4 linked regions of the Saccharomyces cerevisiae S288C genome follow. Changing the gene in region 3 together with the main gene of any one other region gives a genetic interaction. Each region holds a gene or a part of one and is shown on either strand. Other genes may lie near its edges.

Region 1 (4,363 bases), on a different chromosome or scaffold from region 3:
GAGGTTCATTTGGGTCTGTACGAAAAGTCATCCATATACCTACCAAGAAACTTTTGGTTAGAAAGGATATCAAATATGGCCATATGAATAGCAAAGAGAGACAACAGCTGATCGCTGAATGTAGCATTCTATCGCAGTTGAAGCATGAAAATATTGTAGAATTTTATAACTGGGACTTCGATGAACAAAAAGAAGTGTTATACCTTTATATGGAATATTGTTCCAGGGGTGATTTATCCCAGATGATTAAGCACTACAAACAGGAGCATAAATATATACCAGAAAAAATTGTGTGGGGTATCCTGGCCCAATTATTGACTGCGCTCTATAAATGTCATTATGGTGTTGAATTGCCAACTTTGACCACAATATATGACCGGATGAAACCACCGGTAAAAGGCAAAAACATCGTTATCCATCGTGATCTGAAACCAGGAAATATATTCTTAAGCTATGATGATAGCGATTACAATATTAATGAACAAGTAGACGGTCACGAGGAAGTGAATAGTAATTATTACAGAGACCATAGAGTGAATTCAGGGAAAAGGGGGAGCCCTATGGACTATAGTCAAGTTGTGGTAAAGTTAGGTGATTTTGGGTTAGCCAAATCTCTGGAAACTAGTATTCAATTTGCCACAACATACGTCGGTACACCATATTACATGTCGCCTGAAGTGTTGATGGACCAACCATACTCCCCACTATCCGACATCTGGTCACTAGGTTGTGTTATTTTTGAGATGTGTTCGTTGCACCCCCCATTTCAGGCAAAAAATTATCTCGAGCTACAAACTAAGATTAAAAACGGGAAATGTGACACCGTCCCTGAGTATTACTCTAGAGGGCTTAATGCCATAATACATTCAATGATAGATGTGAACTTAAGAACCAGGCCTTCCACTTTTGAATTACTGCAAGATATTCAGATACGAACTGCAAGAAAGTCGTTGCAATTAGAGAGATTTGAAAGGAAGTTACTGGACTATGAAAATGAGCTGACAAACATTGAAAAAATCCTCGAGAAGCAAGCTATTGAATACGAAAGAGAACTGAGTCAGTTGAAGGAACAATTTACCCAGGCAGTGGAGGAGCGAGCCAGGGAAGTAATTAGCGGTAAGAAAGTTGGTAAGGTTCCAGAATCTATAAACGGATATTATGGTAAAAAATTTGCCAAACCTGCATACCACTGGCAAACAAGATATCGATAAAATTTGCTCTGAGAACATTTATACATTAATACATACGGGTATGTATGAATCATATTCAGTGAGGAGTTACACTGGCGACTTGTAGTATATGTAAATCACGTTAGTGAGACCATTTAGACCCTGTCAATGTTTCATAAGCCTCTATATATTTGGCCCTTGTCCTGTCGACAATGTCTTGGGGCATTTTGACGCCGTTAACACCGTTCAACTTATTAGCAGTAAGCCAGTCTCTTAAAAATTGCTTATCGTAAGAATCTTGGGATTCTCCTACCTTATAAGAGGCACCGTTCCAGAATCTAGAGGAGTCTGGCGTTAGCACCTCGTCCACTAGAATAATTTCATTGGTCTTTTCGTCAATACCGAATTCGAATTTAGTGTCTGCGATGATGATGCCCTTCTCCTTAGCATAATCTTTGCACTTGGAGTACAGTTTTACAGCCAGTTCTGCCACTCTACGTGACAAATCTTCACCCACCAGCTCAGCGGCCTGGGCAGGAGAGATGTTTTCGTCATGTTCACCTTGTTCAGCCTTGGTCGATGGGGTGAAGATTGGTTCTGGGAACTCTTGAGATTCTTTAAGTCCTTGAGGTTGTTTCAAACCATGCACAGTACCTGTTTTTACGTACTCTTTCCAAGCAGATCCGGTGATGTAGCCTCTGACAATTACTTCCAATGGAATTAGTTTATGTTTGTGAACCAATAGAGAGCGGTCTTCTAGTTGCGTTTTGTACTTTGGTTCGCTCAATTTTGCAGGTAGATAATCGAAAATAGTCTTACCTGGGGCGATGTCGACCAAATGATTACGAACATCGTTGGACAGGAACTTGAACCAGAACTCTGACAGTTTGGTCAATAGGATCCCCTTTTCAGGAATGCTGTTTTCCATAATAACGTCATATGCAGAGATACGATCCGTAGCAACAAACAGCAACGTACCAGCGTCTACCTCATATATGTCTCTAACTTTACCTCTGGCCACCAATGGCAATATACCGTCCAGTTCAGTCTTCGTAATTGACATTATCGTTAATATTTCGTATGTGTATTCTTTGTAAGCAATGCTTATGATTCGATTGTTCTTAATAGTACCAACTGCAAAAGATAAAACCCAACCGTCTTACCTCAAAGAATCTGGGTAAGAATATATAGAATGTATATATATATATATGTATGTCTATATGTATTAGATGGCATCTTCGAGATTAGTATTATTACATCCTCATCTCTCGCAAGAGTCAGACTGACTCGTGAATAAGCTTCGGGTGACCCTTATGGCATTCTTTTTCAACCTTCAGGAAAAGTTTCAGATGAGTTGAAATTTCGAGTATGGCTACATGGATCAAGTGCTGTAAACAAAGAAGCTTCTACAGGGGTACGCTGGTTGTGTTTTCTGCTTTGCTATCGTGTAGAACTGGATCCATTCTTTCCTGGCTGTGGTAGTACTTAAGGAGTTGGACGTGTTCAAGTCGAGAAAGAGGTGAAATACACGTAGTTTTTAGATAACATTCTCTGCTTGGTAAGAGAATGAGTAATAAGGAAGAGCATGTTGATGAGACTTCCGCAAGTGGTGTCAAGGAGGTTAGTTCTATAGCTGCTAGACATGACAATGGTTACGCGCCTTCGCTAATCACGTCGACGTCGGGCATGGACTCCTTTCAATCGCACGCGCTACTGAATGATCCAACCCTAATAGAGGATTATTCAGATATCATTAATAATAGGCCTACAAGTGGAAGTAAACTTACTTTAGGAAACGAGGATTCGGAGAGTATGGGCGGAAGTGTTGTGGTGACTCCGACTTCGAATAAGAGTTCGCCCTTCAATTCGAAACTTAATATACTGAGTAATGCGGCAGAAAAGGGCCATGATGTTCTGCGAAATAGAGATGATGACAAAGAGTTAGAGGAGGAGAACGTGGAAAAACATATGCATAGCAACAGTAAAAGGGATCAGCGACATTACAAAGAAAATTCTTCGGAATTGCCCGACTCATATGATTATTCGGATTCTGAATTTGAGGACAATTTGGAAAGAAGGCTACAAGAGATCGAAACTGATTCCGTGGATAGCGCCGATAAGGATGAGGTGCATTTTTCAGTGAATAATACAATGAACCCTGACGTTGACGATTTTAGTGATGGCTTGAAATACGCCATCTCGGAGGACGAGGATGAAGAGGAAAACTACTCTGATGACGATGACTTTGACAGAAAATTTCAAGATTCAGGGTTTCAAGGGGAGAAAGACGATTTGGAGGAGGAAAACGACGATTACCAACCCTTATCGCCGCCAAGAGAACTGGACCCTGATAAACTATATGCTTTATATGCGTTCAATGGCCATGATTCTTCACATTGTCAATTAGGGCAAGACGAACCTTGTATACTTTTGAATGACCAGGATGCCTATTGGTGGCTGGTTAAGAGGATCACTGATGGTAAAATCGGGTTTGCGCCAGCGGAAATTCTAGAAACCTTTCCAGAAAGACTAGCTCGATTGAATTGCTGGAAAAATGAAAACATGTCTTCTCAATCGGTTGCTTCCTCCGATTCGAAAGATGATTCCATCAGCTCTGGTAACAAGAATCAAAGTGATGCAGAGAGTATAATTCCGACACCTGCACTGAATGGATATGGTAAGGGGAACAAATCTGTTAGTTTCAATGATGTTGTCGGTTATGCAGACAGGTTTATAGATGATGCAATTGAAGATACCTCGTTAGATAGTAACGATGATGGCGGTGAAGGCAATGGACAGTCGTACGACGATGATGTTGATAACGACAAGGAAACAAAAGTAACGCACCGGGACGAATACACTGAAGCGAAGTTAAATTTTGGCAAATTCCAGGATGATGATACGAGCGATGTAGTGAGCGACGTCTCCTTTAGTACATCTTTGAATACACCACTAAATGTGAAAAAAGTTCGGAGACAAGACAACAAAAACGAAAGTGAGCCTAAGACATCATCGAGTAAAGACAGAGAAGATGATTATAATGCAAATCGGTATGTGGGGCAAGAAAAGTCTGAACCGGTTGACAGTGATTACGATACCGATCTGAAAAAAGTATTTGAAGCGCCTCGTATGCCATTTGCGAATGGTATGGCAAAATCAGACTCTCAAAATTCCCTTTCAACAATTGGCGAGTT
Region 2 (4,698 bases), on a different chromosome or scaffold from region 3:
ACTGCTTTACCATTACCTGATGAAGACGATGCTGATTTATAAAAACATGAAAATTTATATACGAAAATATTCTGCTTCTTCTCACATCAATCTAAAAATTTTTTTTTGAAATTTCTTTTATTTTTAATATATAGTTCTGAAAGTCTATTTTTAAAGAATTAGTTCTTCTCTGTTTAATTGCCACATTGTAATTTTTTTTTGGTATGTTGAAGTTTAACCTGTACATTTCTTTTCTTTTAAATTGAATCAAAGACCAATAAACGGGATCCGATCACAATATGATCGTCCAATAACGCTCCCTCTTGCACTTCACTTACTACTTTATAAACCTAATTTTTATTTTTTACTAGATTCCTTTTTTCTTCCTGCTGGCGCTTTTTTTTTTTTGCCCGTCCAAAAGTTTTCAATGAAAAGTAATCCTCTTGAAAAGAGATACTTCTTTCGATTACAATAATGTTCTTATTCATATACAAATAGAATATCAGAAGATCGGAAACGAGTTAAGATAAAATATAAGAAGAGGAAAGTATTCCCAATTATGTTTTCATTTAATTGGTAGACGCGACAAAAAAAAGTATAATATATTGGGAGAGATAGTTCAGTCTCACCCACATTCTCTTTGCCCTGTGCCTCGCTCGGTTGTTAATTGCCAATATTACGATCTTGAGCTGGATGACAAAAAAATAAAAATACATTTTATTTTTTTGATCAACGGGCTAAAACAATTAGACTTCTTTGAGTACGAGGATATCGCTATTTTTATCTCACGGTATCGTATTGTAATTAGAACGTCTCATATCATATCGTATAATTCGGCCTTTATTTCAAGAAAAAGAAGAGAAGTTATTCTTGTGCATGTTCGTAAACTGATTTATTTAAAACTTACATATGACTTGAAAAAGTTTTTCTTTGAACCAAATTACAGGCATATTCCGCTGATATTAAGCGTTTTTCTCAGCAAATTCCTTGATAAAATCTACCAAGTTTTGTACAGCTTTCACTGAAAGCGCGTTATAGATGGAGGCTCTGAACCCACCAACTGAACGATGTCCTTTCAAACCGGTTAAATGACGAGCAGCTGCCTCTTTTAGAAACTGGTCATCAAGGCCGTCCTTTTTAAGGGTGAAAACGACATTCATTTTTGATCTACACTTTGGATCCACTGGAACGTTGTAAAAATCTGAATTTGCATCCAATGCCTCATATAATATCTTGGCCTTTTCTTCATTTTCAGCCTGTTGCGCTTCAACACCACCCTTCTTCAAAATATGTTGGAACACGAGATCCATAACATGTAAAGTGAAAATTGGAATTGTATTATAGGCTGAGTTGTTCTTCACCACCGTTGGATAGTCGAATGCAATAGGGGTGATTGGTACTCCCAATTCATGTAATGTTTCATCAGAAGCGCCAGAAATATTCTTAAGGATGGATTTCTTGATAATGTATAGGGTTAAGCCTGCTAAACCAATGTTTTTTTGGGCGCCTGCCATGATGACACCGTATTGAGAAACGTCAATCTTACGAGACAAAATGTCGCTGGATAAGTCAGCAACAATTTCGATGTTGGGGTCGTTTACTAAACATTTTGGTAATTCTGGCCATTCAACACCATGAACAGTTTCATTCTCACATAGGTACACGTATGAGAAAGCCTTACCTTTGATTTTATCTTCCCAAAGGGATTCATCCGGAATTTTACCAAATTTGCCATTGTTATAATCTTTAGCGTTGAAGATAACTTCAGCAGGAACGTGCAATCTCTTTGCCTCTTCAAAAGATTTCTGAGACCAACTACCGGTGACTAAATAACCGGCAGGTGCAATCTTCCCATGCTTACCCACATATGCAGCTGCCAAATTAGTAGCAACGGAAGAAAAACCAGTAGTGCCACCACCTTGCAAGTAGAACACTTCATGAGTGTCAGGAATATTTAGCAGTTCGATTAAGTGCTTCTTAGAGTCTTCAATCACTTTGGTGGCATCCTTCGAACGGTGAGAAATTTCACCGATACCCAAACCTATGTCATTGAAATTGATTAAGTCTTTAGCAGCTTGTTGCAAAACTGGTGTAGGCATTTGAGCTGGCCCTGCTCCGAAATGTTGTGGTTCCTCTCTTTCCAAAGACATTGTTTCTTATCACTAATGGTTAATCGATGATTGATCAACTAATTAGACCTGTGTTGTTCAATTAAGTAATTTCAAAGGCTCCTTAATGTCTTTGTCTATTTTATGAAGGCACTTATATATATACATACATATAAAACGTATAAAAGAAAAGTAGTCATTAATTCGCGATGCTTAGAAAGAGTCACTACTTTTGGGCGTACAAGGTAAGAATAATTTGAATGGTAAGCTCGTGACCAAATTGTGGCTGCAGTTAAGGTGCCTCGGCCGGTGTCAGGTAAATTAATGCCGTCATCCGGGTTTCCTGTCCTTATTATGGCTTTTCTTTTGGGACCATACATCCGTACATATTGTGGACCCATTTCTTTTTCGCGCAGATGTTTTTTGCGTCTTCTGCTTAGCGGGCAAGGGTGACCGAGTTTCCCATCTATGCTGCATTTTCCTCCAATTAGTTTTGTCCCGTATTCACCATGGTGAAGTAATCTCATCCCAATCTTCAATATTAAGGATGAAGATTCTGAATTAGCACTCCTTCCTCAAGATACTAGATAAACAAATTATACAAAATGGTACGTTAATATTGTGTTAAAATGCTCCACGAAACGCTTTTTTTAGGAAACTTGTCCCCATACAGGAAGAAGGTGTATTAAAAGGGAAAACTACGATCAAAGTAATATTTTGAATAGGAAAGATTGCCCCATGATAATATTAATAATCCATCAAATGCCTGTAGATAATGACTGAAAAATGAAAAGAAAATAAAATATTGTATCATTATTATGTTGAGATGTAAATGTACAAAAAAGGAAGAAAGACGAGAATTTCAAAGGACGATTATTCTCGTTAATATTCACAACATGTTGAATATAGACCTTTCCTAAAAAATTAGCGTCTGCGTTGCAGTAACTCCATAACACAAGTCTGAATATCTCATTACTAACATTAAATGAAAAATTTTTTTTTTTTCAAATTCTCCTTAGGCTAAAGTTCACGGTTCTCTAGCTCGTGCTGGTAAAGTTAAGTCTCAAACTCCAAAGGTTGAAAAAACTGAAAAGCCAAAGAAACCAAAGGGTCGTGCTTACAAGAGATTATTGTACACCAGAAGATTCGTTAACGTTACCTTGGTTAACGGTAAGAGAAGAATGAACCCAGGTCCATCTGTCCAATAGATACTATCTAAAATTCTATACTTTTATTGTTCTACATGTGTAATTAAACAAAAATATTATAATTAGGAAATATTTACCCTTTTTACATGGGTTTTTGATTCGAACTGCTAAAATCTAGGATTTACTATACATCATTTTCTCAAACATTTGAAACGGCCATAGGGATGGCCATCATTGTAGCCCGACTATTACCTTGATCATTCAATCACTGACCGCCTTTGAACCTATATCAAAATTTCCTCCGATTAAAGAAACTATACATAAAAAGAGCAATTACTTTGATCATTAATAGTGAGTACATAAAATTACATATTTTCTATAACAGTAGTTTCATCTTTGTTTGCATTCCATTACCAATCATCACCATTGTCCATATCGTCATGAGCTCCCACTTTAGTTTTTCTTTTGTTTAAAGCTGCTGCCAACGCATCTGCTAAAGAAGCCGGAGGTCCACCAGGTGTGCCTCCATTTCCAGCCGCTGCTGGTGGTGAAGCAGATTCTCCACGTGCTTCCTGCAGTAAAACTGAGGGCTTATCTAGCTGCGATTTGTCAACTTTTCTCAAAGCGCCTATGCCACCTGCCCCTCTAATTGAAGCTAAAAGTGCATCACGACCTGCATCTCCAGTAGTTTCAGCGAATGAACCGCCTCCGGATGTTGATGTAGCTGGCATTTGAGGAGGTGGGGGTGGAGCTGGAGCTCCTCCAGATTGAGGTTGTTGAGTTAGGAATGCTGGTGGCGGAGGTGGTGCAGCACTCGTCGTCGATGGTAACGTTGGCGGAATAGGTGCTGAGGGTGCTGACTGAGGTATCTGCGACTGGCCTAAAGATGCCGGAGGAGGTGGTGGTGCCACTGGCACATTTGTGGCTTGCGAAGGTGCTTGAGTATTCTGAGGAAGGGGAACTGCAGGTTGTCCAGTTGCTGCAGTCATTTGTGGTGTCAGGGTATTGAAAGTTGTCACTGGAGGAGGGGGTGGAGATGACATGTTGCTATTTGTCTGATATCCAAAGGGGCGGTTAGAATTATTGTACTGTTGTGGATTTTGTTGCATCGTAACGTTTGGTGTGGGGCGAGATGCTCTTGGAGGAGGTGGTGGTGCTGGCCCTCTTCTTCCAGTGGCCTGTGGAAGGAGGCTATTTCCACCGGCAGAATTCAGGGTATTACTGGTTACGTGCCTATGTGGTGGAGGCGGTGGTGCTGGCCCACGCCTTGGCGGAGGTGGAGGAGCAGGTAGGCGAACACCTGAACCTTCAGTAGTGGTACGCATTGGCGGAGGAGGTGGCACAGGCCGATTATTTCTGTTAGGCAACTGTGGAAGGGGCCTATTCTGCTGTGGTATGCCCATTGAAGGAGCTTGATTAAACTGCTGCTGAGGTACCGGAAATGGAAATGGGTTTGTTGCAGA
Region 3 (4,384 bases):
AGCGGCATCAAAGCTACCGGATCATGTATAGGTGGGCCCGATTCAAATCCTTGCATATCCTTGTAGGTATGAGCAAAAAATTGAAAAAGCTCCAAAAACAATTCTCGTAACTTGCTGTTATTCTTTTCGTTGTATATCATTTCGTTAACCTTGTAAGTAGCTATGGCCTTGTGAGTTAAATTTAGAGGAACTACTATACATTTGTCCTTTACATCGGGATCACGGAATATGTAATTCGCTGCGTCAGGATCAATCCAAACGTTGAATTCAGCAGAAAGATTTGGGTTACAGTTTCCTAGACCATGGAGTCCACCCCCCATAATGCTAATATATTTGACAGATTTTTTTAGGTATGGTTTACACCTAAAAACTGTTGCTAATGTGGTAAGTGCACCAGTAGACACAAAGGATATCTCTCCATTGTTAGCTAGAATCGCCTCTTCAATGGCCTCAATATACGTTTTATCAGTTCTTGCCTCAAATGTTGGCTTAGGTAGCAAAGAAGTGCCGTCTAAACCTGATATACCATGAATGTCAGGAGCATAATGAGGTTCCCTTTTCCAAGGTCTCTGTGCGCCTTTATAAACTGGAATCGCTTGTGCTTTGCCCATCGCAGTCAAAAGAGAACGGGCGTTGTAGTCAGTATTCTCTGGCGGTGCGTTACCAAAACACGTGCTGATTCCTAGAAGATTGAAAGCTGGATGGAAACAGCCTAATAAAATGGCTATGGCATCATCATGACCAGGATCACAATCTAGCCATATGGGTATTTTACTAACAGTCATCTTTTCTTCAAACAGTCGCTGGTTATTGCTGTCCAACCCTTCCCCAACCTTGCAGATGAGGGAAATTATCTGTTTTAATAAGTTTCGTGAGGTAAAAAAATCAGCAGATTCCATCAAAAGTAGTTGTCACGTATGTGTCAAATATCGCGTTACGTGGTGGTGAACAGAGGGAAAACGTAATCGCGCCTCACAGGTTACCGGTGAGGCTAAGGGAATAAACTTTGAGATAATAATTAGTTATACGTATACATATGGTCGCAGTTATATGCGTTGTCTATTGTACAAATTCTGCTGTATGATTCAAGTTACTGAAGGATATGATATGTCTATCATTGCTTGTGTTCCTGCTCAGGAATAAAGATGTCATTGCCCTGTTCAATAGCCATTCTAGTATGGAAAACAATGTCAGTAGATTCCCATGGATATGCATACCACTTGTCTGGAACAGTTTTAGCTGCAAAATAACGGTTCTTGTCATTCAACATTTCGGCAGGCAAATCTGCTTTCTTTGGTTTTTGCTTATCGTGTAGAACAAAAATCCCGAAGTTTGTTTTCATCTCTGGAGACTTTTCAGTATCGATACCTTTAGCCTTTGCCTGTTCAGCTGCATCCTTTTCCAATTCACTCAAAGCGTAATGAAGTGTGGTACGGGTGTCATCGACTTCGTCAACGATAAGAACGTTCTTGCCGACTAGATCTAATTTACATTGCTCGTAATCAATCCATTGTGTTCTGCTAACCTTAACACCAACTTCCTCAACTTCTGAGCCTACACTGTTCAAATCTTCGTACAAAGACAAAATAATAGCAAAAATTCTGATGGTTGGCACGCCGGGCTCCTTTAGGAACGTACGTAGGATCCTAGCAGGAATGAAACCACCACCACCAATGGCAATGATTAAGTCCGGCTTGAAATTCTTAATTCTCTCAGCGGATACTTGACATAGTTGATGTACGTTGTTGTACGAGATGTATTGCTTATCGTTTGCCGACATTATGGGAACGTAATGGATATAATGAACACGAACGGTAATATAAAAATAAGAAAGATTACAAGGCACTACATCGTATTACTCCAGCTAGATGGAGACTAAAATAAAAAAGTTACGGCAAACCAAACTGCGAAGGGGGAACAAAATCTAACGGAAATTGGGCTTATCAAACATGTTTAAATAGAAAATTCTATAGCAGCTCATCGCTACCCGATTTGGGACAGATGGAGGGGGAAAAATTTTTTTTCCTTTTCTTTCCTAGTAAACGCGAAATATAGAGAAAAAAAATGAAAGAAGTCAGATAAGCGGAAATGATATTAATTGAAATTAATCTAATTAATTTTTTCAGAAGAAAAAAAAAATAAGTGACTCGGAAGGGAAATATGTACTGTCTTTTCTTAGTTAACCAACTATGGTTGTGACGTAAAAGTGGAGTGCTTGCTTGATGTTCCAGATGGCCTTACTGTTAACGATGCCAGATGCAGTTCAAAAAGGATAAACGATTGTGGGGGTCTTTTGACAGATCTTCTTCGCGTGGGATACTTTCGTGATCTTTTTTTTTCTTTTTTCTTTTCTTACATTATGTGGTGAACTCTATATAAGTATTTATGTGCCTAGAGATTATTTTTGTATTCTGATGCGTGAAAGCATTTTATGCATGATATCCTCTATTCCATCTCAACGTCACTATATCCGGCTTCCTCCTCGCCGTCGCTCTGCTCCGTTTCTAAACGGCCATCTTGCTTAGATGAGGTATGCTTCTGTTCCTCTTCGTTGTCACTATCACCTTCTTCTTCTTCTTCACTGCCATAAGATTCTTCACCGTCCTCTATAAGGCCGGCATCATCGAGTTCTTCGTTATATTCAACGTCGTCTTCGTCCTCTTCGACAACTGGTTCGGATGAGTGGATGTCGCCTGCTTCATAGTTCAAAGTTTTGAATTTATTTATAGTACAGTCTAACCTTGCATCCAGTGCTAGTAGCCTTGGTAATAAGTCGGAACGCCTTTTCAAGGTGGAATGTAACGACGATAGAGTAGACATCAAATTTGGAATAGAAACCAAATAGCCACCGTGTATGATTAAACACCATTTTACCCAAACATTCAATGGGCCTTGACGGTGGGTTTGTCTTGCAATCCTCTCTGCCAACCTTTCTAAGAGAATGACAGCCAGTGCTGGTTTCAGACGGAAGATAGTATCCCTAATGACCCTCTCGTCACGATTATTGAGCACTGTTTCCAACAGTGAATGATCATTTGATTGTAGTGCTTGCGACAGAATTACTGTTACCGTCCCGGTTGTCGTAGCAGTCTTGAGATTGGAACCTTTTAAATTTGTTTTTTTCCCACTAATCCTTGCGACGGTGCTTGATTCTAGCTTATCACCAAATGTTTCTGTTAATAGTTCATTGGCCTGTGGGGGCTTGGCCTGTTCTTGTTCCAAAGAAGTCAATTCTCTTTCCCAGCTCTTTATAGCGTCATCAACATGCTTGAAGTTATCTCCAGAGGTGACTCTTGCATTACCTTCCACGTAGTTGGTGGCTGAGGCAAGATCTTTACCGTGTAGATCGCGATCGGCGGACTTATTTTTATTATTCCAATTTAGGGAAATTTCGACGGTATATTCATTAGGGATTTCTCTCCACTGCAAGTTCTTGAAGTAAGGCATAGTAGCATTTTGTAACCACGATACGTTCAAAAGGTCTTTATTAATAAATGCGTTATAAATTGGAACTTTCCTGCCGTCTTTACTGACGATTTGAATCTTTTTGCTGGATTTTTTGGACTTGTTGCCTCTTTTCTTTGTTGAACTCGATACCAATGGATCAACAAAAATTTCCAAGCTACCATCCTCGGTAGTGACTGCGATAGAATCGGCTTGGCCTGAATGAGATAACTCCTTGATATCTGATTCAGCCACAAGGACGCATTTGGTCATACCGGAATGAATATCATATACGTTCAAGAATCTATCACCCTCTGCGCCTGATATGAAAAATTCATTAGTTATAACTTGCAATGTGGACACTGGAGATACATGACCGGGAAATGTCATTACGACTTTTTTCTCTTCGATGTCTATTAAAGAAATGGAATGGGATGCAACCAAAAGTTGTGCAACAGAATCGCCTGCTGGAACAATGGTTAGTTTATTCAATTGAACGCAGTTGTTTATTCTAAAATGTTGTAACAGTTTGAATTGTAACAGATCGAACTGATAGAATGCGTCGCTGGAGTCGATACACCACAGTTGATTACCCATCAAGTCTATGTCTTTGATTTCGTAAGAATTCCCCGTAGTGAATTTATAGGTGACTTCGTTGGCCAATACGGAATATAGCCAAATTTCACCGTTATTCATACCCAATATAATAGCCACTGTGTCGGAAGAAGCCAGGTTTACCCATTTTAAGCACGTCACCTTCAATTTCGAGTCCTCTAAATACAGAAAATTCTCATTCCACACTGTATCAACTCCGGAGGAAGTGGCCCTTTGAGTGGGCTGTACACCAACGCGTTGCTTGTCCAAAGCTACAGTGACATAACACAAATACTGACCTGATGGGTCATAAGCGGACTGTAGAACAGGAGAATCCATCGGTAAT
Region 4 (5,231 bases), on a different chromosome or scaffold from region 3:
TTTTCGACCCATGTTGCCCAAGCAAACGGAAAACAAAAAGTTTAATTTTCTGAATTCCATTCTAACAAAATCTCAATTCATGCCCACGACTAATGAGCTAGATGTCACGATAAGAAAATCTTACGATGTCTCGTTATACTCATGCAGACTTGGCGGCATTCTAGGTTTAAGTTCACGTGTTCCCCACCGAGGCGGTGTCAACACGAAATATATTTTACCATCGTCACTATTGGAAATGAGCGAAATAATAACAGAAAGTTGTTTTATGCTAATGGAGGAGTTCGACGGGCTGCTCCCTCAAAAATTCGAGTTGGACCCTTGCACTGATGAGACTAATGGGAATTGCGAGTTTAACGGCGAAACTAAATCACGAATGATTGCCAACGGCGAATATGAAACTTTTGAAAATGACCTAGATGTCGGGATCAAAGTTTCGAATTATGGGAAAGGTGGGAATGACCAGAAAGCTAAGAGAAATGTACTAAGCAAAGATGGGATAACAGAGACTCAAAACATAAAAGGTGATACTGTTGGAAGCTCGAAATCGATTGCTGAAATAGACGGCGACGAAGTAACGCAAATACGTAGAGTTTTTACGCTTGGTAAGGATATCAAACCGCATATTACAACGGACGATACCATGGGTTCTCAGTGGAAAAACCATCCAGACTGGCCATTTTGGGTCAACAAGGTAGAATCCAGAAGATTGTTGGATTCGAATATCATTGAATCTATATTTTATATGTACAGAATCAGTGGAGAACAAAAATGGAGAAGCATGGGTAAGCAGTCTTTTGGAATCTTAATGCAAGAATTAATGGAACTAAACAGTGGTGCCAAAGGATTGTGGCAAATAAAGGAATTTTATGAAAACGGTGAAAAAGTGAACAATGATTTACCTAGCTATTGGTTCTCCAGAACATTAAAATACTATTTGCTACTATTCAGCGATGGTGACAAGGTTTCCCTGGACAAACACATCTTAACTCAAGGAGGGCACATAATCAAAAAGAAATGAAGTTAACGTTAGAAAAATCGTACGCACATACATACATACATATAGGTACATATATACATAATGAGAAGAGGAGAAAATGAATACTTATACAGTAATGTTTATTTTTTTGGGATTAAGTGTCGTTGTGGTGATTTCTTTACACAGCCAATGGGTATTCGCCAGCCCAGTCGTAAATTTCCTTTTTCCAGGTGTTCAAAACATCAGAGCCTTCGTCGACCTTGGCTTTGAAGTCCTTTAATCTACAAGCATCCTTTGGCAAGCTTTGTTGAACTTGTTGAGCGAATTCTACAGCCTTGTTAATGTATTGAACAATTCTGTGGAAATCTTCTTCACCCATTCCTCTAGTGGTCATGGCTGGAGCCCCAATACGGACACCACCTGGAACCAAAGCAGATTTGTCACCTGGAATAGAGTTTTTGTTCAAAGCAATGTTAATCTTTTCACAAATGTATTCAACACGAGCACCATCAACACCCTTTTCTCTCAAGGATACTAGAACCATGTGAGAATCGGTACCGTTGGAAACTAATCTGTAGCCCAAGTTCTTAAATTCACTTTCCAAAGCCTTAGCATTCTTCAAGACTTGAGTTTGGTATTCCTTGAATTCTGGAGTGGCAGCTTGCTTCAAAGCAGTGGCCAAAGCAGCAATGGTATGGTTGTGTGGACCACCTTGGTGACCTGGGAAAACAGAGAAGTTAATTGGGTTTTCCAAGTCGTATAGAACTTCCTTACCGGTCTTAGGGTTGATAGATCTCACACCTCTTCTGAAGAAAATCATAGCACCACGTGGACCTCTCAAAGACTTGTGAGTGGTGGTGGTAACGATATCAGCGTATTCGAAAGGAGATGGGATGACACCTGCGGCGATCAAACCAGAAATGTGGGCCATGTCTACCATCAAGTAAGCACCACATTTGTCGGCGATTTCTCTCATTCTCTTGTAGTCAATTAAACGACAGTATGCTGAAGTACCAGCAACAAGAACCTTTGGTCTATATAGGATGGCGTTCTTTTCTAAAGTATCGTAGTCGATAATACCGGTTTCTGGGTTAACTCTGTATGGGAAAGATTCGAAGTATGTGGAAACAGCAGAAATTTTTCTGTTTTCAGTAGCGTAACCGTGAGACAAATGACCACCATCTGGTAGGTATAGACCCATCAATCTTTCATGAGGCTTCATAATAGCTTGATAAACCTGCAAGTTAGCAGGAGAACCAGATAAAGTTTGGACGTTAACACCCCATTTGTCTGGAGTAACATGGAAAGCTTTCAAAGCTCTTTGTTGACATAGAATTTCCATTCTGTCAATGTGTTCATTACCACCGTAGTAACGAGCACCTGGATAACCTTCAGAGTATTTGTTGGACAATGGAGTTCCAAGGGCATCGAAAACGGAGGTTGAGGTGAAATTTTCAGAAGCAATCAAATCGATGGAGTGCTTTTGTCTTTCAATTTCATCCTTGATAATGGAGTCCACTTCAGGGTCGGTGTCCACCAAATGAGAGGTGATCAACTTATGATGAGCGTCGGATAGAGTGTAAGGCATGTTAAGGAGGATTCGGTTTAAGCTGTTATGCTTTGCTATGGGGTAGTATCTTTCGTAAAGGTTACACTAGAAGAAGGAAAGATTACTGAACGCAAACTAAGGGAAGCAAGTTCTGCATTATATATAAAACAAGATGAAGAAGACTCATGGTTCGGTCTAAGATGATTATGAATTTAAAAATTATACAGAGTAAAAAGCGAACATGAGAAACCCAAGAGATAGAGTCAAACCTTTATGGTCAAAGCAACCTGAAAGGGTCATTTCTCACCAGGAGTCATGTTTCGTGTGTGAAATATTTGAAAAATTTCACTTCTTTTTTCTTTTTTTTTTTCTACATTAAAAATCGGTGCGTTGTCTTTTCAAAGATGAGGTAGATGAAGATGGTGACTCCGGCTGTTCAGATCCGATTGACTCGACCGACTCTGTTTCCTGTGGTGGCTTCAAGTAGTTGTCCATGTACCATTGCAATTGAGCTATGCTCTCTTTGATATCACTATAAGCAGTGTGGGCAGCTTCTTTTTTTGGATTACGTGCTTGTAAAGCGGGATTGTGTCTGCGGGCAACTTCCATGATGCTACTGACGTCAACTATTCTGTAAAAGAGATGATCAATGACCTTGGGAAACTCGCGGACCATGAACAAGCGGTCCATATGTACACTATTGCCTGCCAAGACGCCAACGTTCTTGTCTGGGATGTAGCGCTGGATGTACTCGAGCAGCTCATCTTCTACCTGGGCCAAAGTCTTCTCACTTGCCAAAACTTTGGCGGTGAGACCGCTATTACCGTGGTGCTCAATACACCACTCGTTCATTTTGTTCATCACCTCGGGACCATAATGGATGACGCTCTCATAATGCGAGTCTCCTTGGCCATCGGCCGCTTTGACGGGTGCCAGGTGTCCATCGGTGATGATGCAGCAAATCTCGATAATTCTGTCATTCACGTGGTCTAAACCGGTCATCTCGCAGTCGATCCAGACCAAGGGTTTGAACAGCTTGGTTTTAAGTTCGGGTGTTTGCGCCATTGATTGCAGGTTTTGGATGGTTCGAGGACGTAAGTACTGTGAAACGGATCTTCTGTACAGCGAGAAGAGGTTTGGGCGAGTGCGAGCTACGATTCTTGCCGGAAACAACAACCACTTCATCTTGATCTCTTCTGTTTATTTGTGAAAGCTCCTTTTCTTTTTTTTCATTTTCTTTGCAAATCGAAAAGTTCACACTGATTTTTTATTAGTTCTTTTAAGTGCCCAACTTGACAGGAAAAAGAAACACCCCAAAGGGAATACCAGTGTATGTAAGGCTTGAATTATACGTATGAGCATGCGTTTGATGGTTGTCGTCAGAGCCAGTGCTCTGAGAGTGTCCCAGATGACTACAACCCTTGTATAAAAGTACATCTTCTTGATTATTTATCACGACACACGAGGTGACCGATTATTCAGAATCGGTACCAAAAAAGAAAGAAAATTGAAGGAAATGAAAAATTTTCAATGTATTTCTCGAAAGCCTGGAGTTGATCAAATGTTCAAAAAATAGGGCAGAATAGCATAACACACATCAATAACACCGAGCCAGCATGCCTACCGTCTCCGTGAACAAGCAGCAATTATTTGATCTTCTAGGCAAAAACTACACTTCCCAAGAGTTCGATGAATTATGTTTTGAATTCGGTATGGAAATGGACGAAGACACCACAGAGGAGGCCTTGAAAACCGGGGAGGAGCCGGAATTGAAGCTTGATATCAGTGCCAATCGTTACGATTTGCTTTGTATCGAAGGTATTTCACAGTCGCTGAACGAATACTTGGAACGTAAAGAAAGACCTGACTATAAATTAAGCAAGCCAACCACTAAGTTGATCATCGACAAATCAACGGAGCAAATTAGACCTTTTGCTACCGCTGCTGTATTGAGAAATATCAAGCTTAACGAAAAATCTTACGCTTCTTTTATTGCCTTGCAAGATAAATTACATGCCAATCTATGTAGAAACAGAAGCTTGGTTGCCATGGGTACTCACGATTTAGATTCAATTGAAGGTCCATTCCATTACAGAGCTCTACCACCAAAGGACATCAAGTTCGTACCATTGAATCAAACCCAAGAGTTTACTGGTGACAAATTGATCGAGTTTTATAAATCTCCAGAACAGAAAAACAACATAGGGAGATACGTTCACATTATTGAGGATTCTCCAGTCTTCCCAGTTATTATGGACAGCAAAGATCGTGTTTGCTCCCTGCCACCATTAATCAATAGTGAACATTCGAAGATCTCTGTGAACACCCGTAACATTTTGATTGATATAACCGCCACCGATAAGACCAAAGCCGAGATCGTTTTGAACATATTAACTACAATGTTCTCACGTTATTGTGACGAACCATTCACGGTTGAGCCTGTAGAAATTGTCTCTGAACACAATGGCCAATCCCGTTTGGCGCCAAACTTCAACGATAGAATTATGGATGTCTCCATTAAGTACATCAACTCCTGTCTTGGCCTAGATCAATCCGCTGATGAAATTGCTCATTGTCTAAAGAAGATGTCGTTGCATGCCGTTCAATCAAAGGAAGACAAGGACATCTTGCACGTTGACATTCCGGTAACTAGACCTGATATTTTGCACGCTTGTGATATAATGGAAGATGCCGCTGTCGGTTATG

What was found.
Region 1: mutations in HPT1 (region 3) and ADE1 together harm fitness more than expected from each alone (negative genetic interaction), as found in Saccharomyces cerevisiae (3 studies listed by BioGRID).
Region 2: mutations in HPT1 (region 3) and SER1 together harm fitness more than expected from each alone (negative genetic interaction), as found in Saccharomyces cerevisiae (4 studies listed by BioGRID).
Region 4: mutations in HPT1 (region 3) and SHM2 together harm fitness more than expected from each alone (negative genetic interaction), as found in Saccharomyces cerevisiae (4 studies listed by BioGRID).

Annotation. Positions count from the first base shown.
Region 1 is NC_001133.9:167,244-171,606, reverse strand, and holds ADE1 (phosphoribosylaminoimidazolesuccinocarboxamide synthase), read right to left. Parts: upstream 2,233-4,363; coding exon 1,312-2,232; downstream 1-1,311. Other genes in the region: serine/threonine protein kinase KIN3, read left to right, coding at 1-1,211; protein phosphatase regulator BUD14, read left to right, coding at 2,736-4,363. UniProt on the Saccharomyces cerevisiae protein: Catalyzes the reaction of 4-carboxy-5-aminoimidazole ribotide (CAIR) and aspartic acid with the formation of N-succinyl-5-amino-imidazole-4-carboxamide ribotide (SAICAR) in the purine biosynthesis pathway.
Region 2 is NC_001147.6:676,788-681,485, reverse strand, and holds SER1 (O-phospho-L-serine:2-oxoglutarate transaminase), read right to left. Parts: upstream 2,130-4,698; coding exon 942-2,129; downstream 1-941. Other genes in the region: Ran GTPase GSP2, read left to right, coding at 1-42; FYV12 (Fyv12p), read right to left, coding at 2,225-2,614; 40S ribosomal protein eS30 RPS30B, read left to right, coding at 2,693-2,695, 3,107-3,295; actin-binding protein LAS17, read right to left, coding at 3,646-4,698. UniProt on the Saccharomyces cerevisiae protein: Phosphoserine aminotransferase (PSAT) is a pyridoxal 5'-phosphate-dependent enzyme involved in the second step of the phosphorylated pathway of serine biosynthesis.
Region 3 is NC_001136.10:1,267,464-1,271,847, reverse strand, and holds HPT1 (hypoxanthine phosphoribosyltransferase), read right to left. Parts: upstream 1,781-4,384; coding exon 1,115-1,780; downstream 1-1,114. Other genes in the region: URH1 (trifunctional uridine nucleosidase/nicotinamide riboside hydrolase/nicotinic acid riboside hydrolase), read right to left, coding at 1-785; UTP5 (Utp5p), read right to left, coding at 2,446-4,377. UniProt on the Saccharomyces cerevisiae protein: Converts guanine to guanosine monophosphate, and hypoxanthine to inosine monophosphate. Transfers the 5-phosphoribosyl group from 5-phosphoribosylpyrophosphate onto the purine.
Region 4 is NC_001144.5:256,838-262,068, forward strand, and holds SHM2 (glycine hydroxymethyltransferase SHM2), read right to left. Parts: upstream 2,565-5,231; coding exon 1,155-2,564; downstream 1-1,154. Other genes in the region: putative mannosidase MNL2, read left to right, coding at 1-1,018; REX2 (Rex2p), read right to left, coding at 2,901-3,710; FRS1 (phenylalanine--tRNA ligase subunit beta), read left to right, coding at 4,142-5,231. UniProt on the Saccharomyces cerevisiae protein: Interconversion of serine and glycine.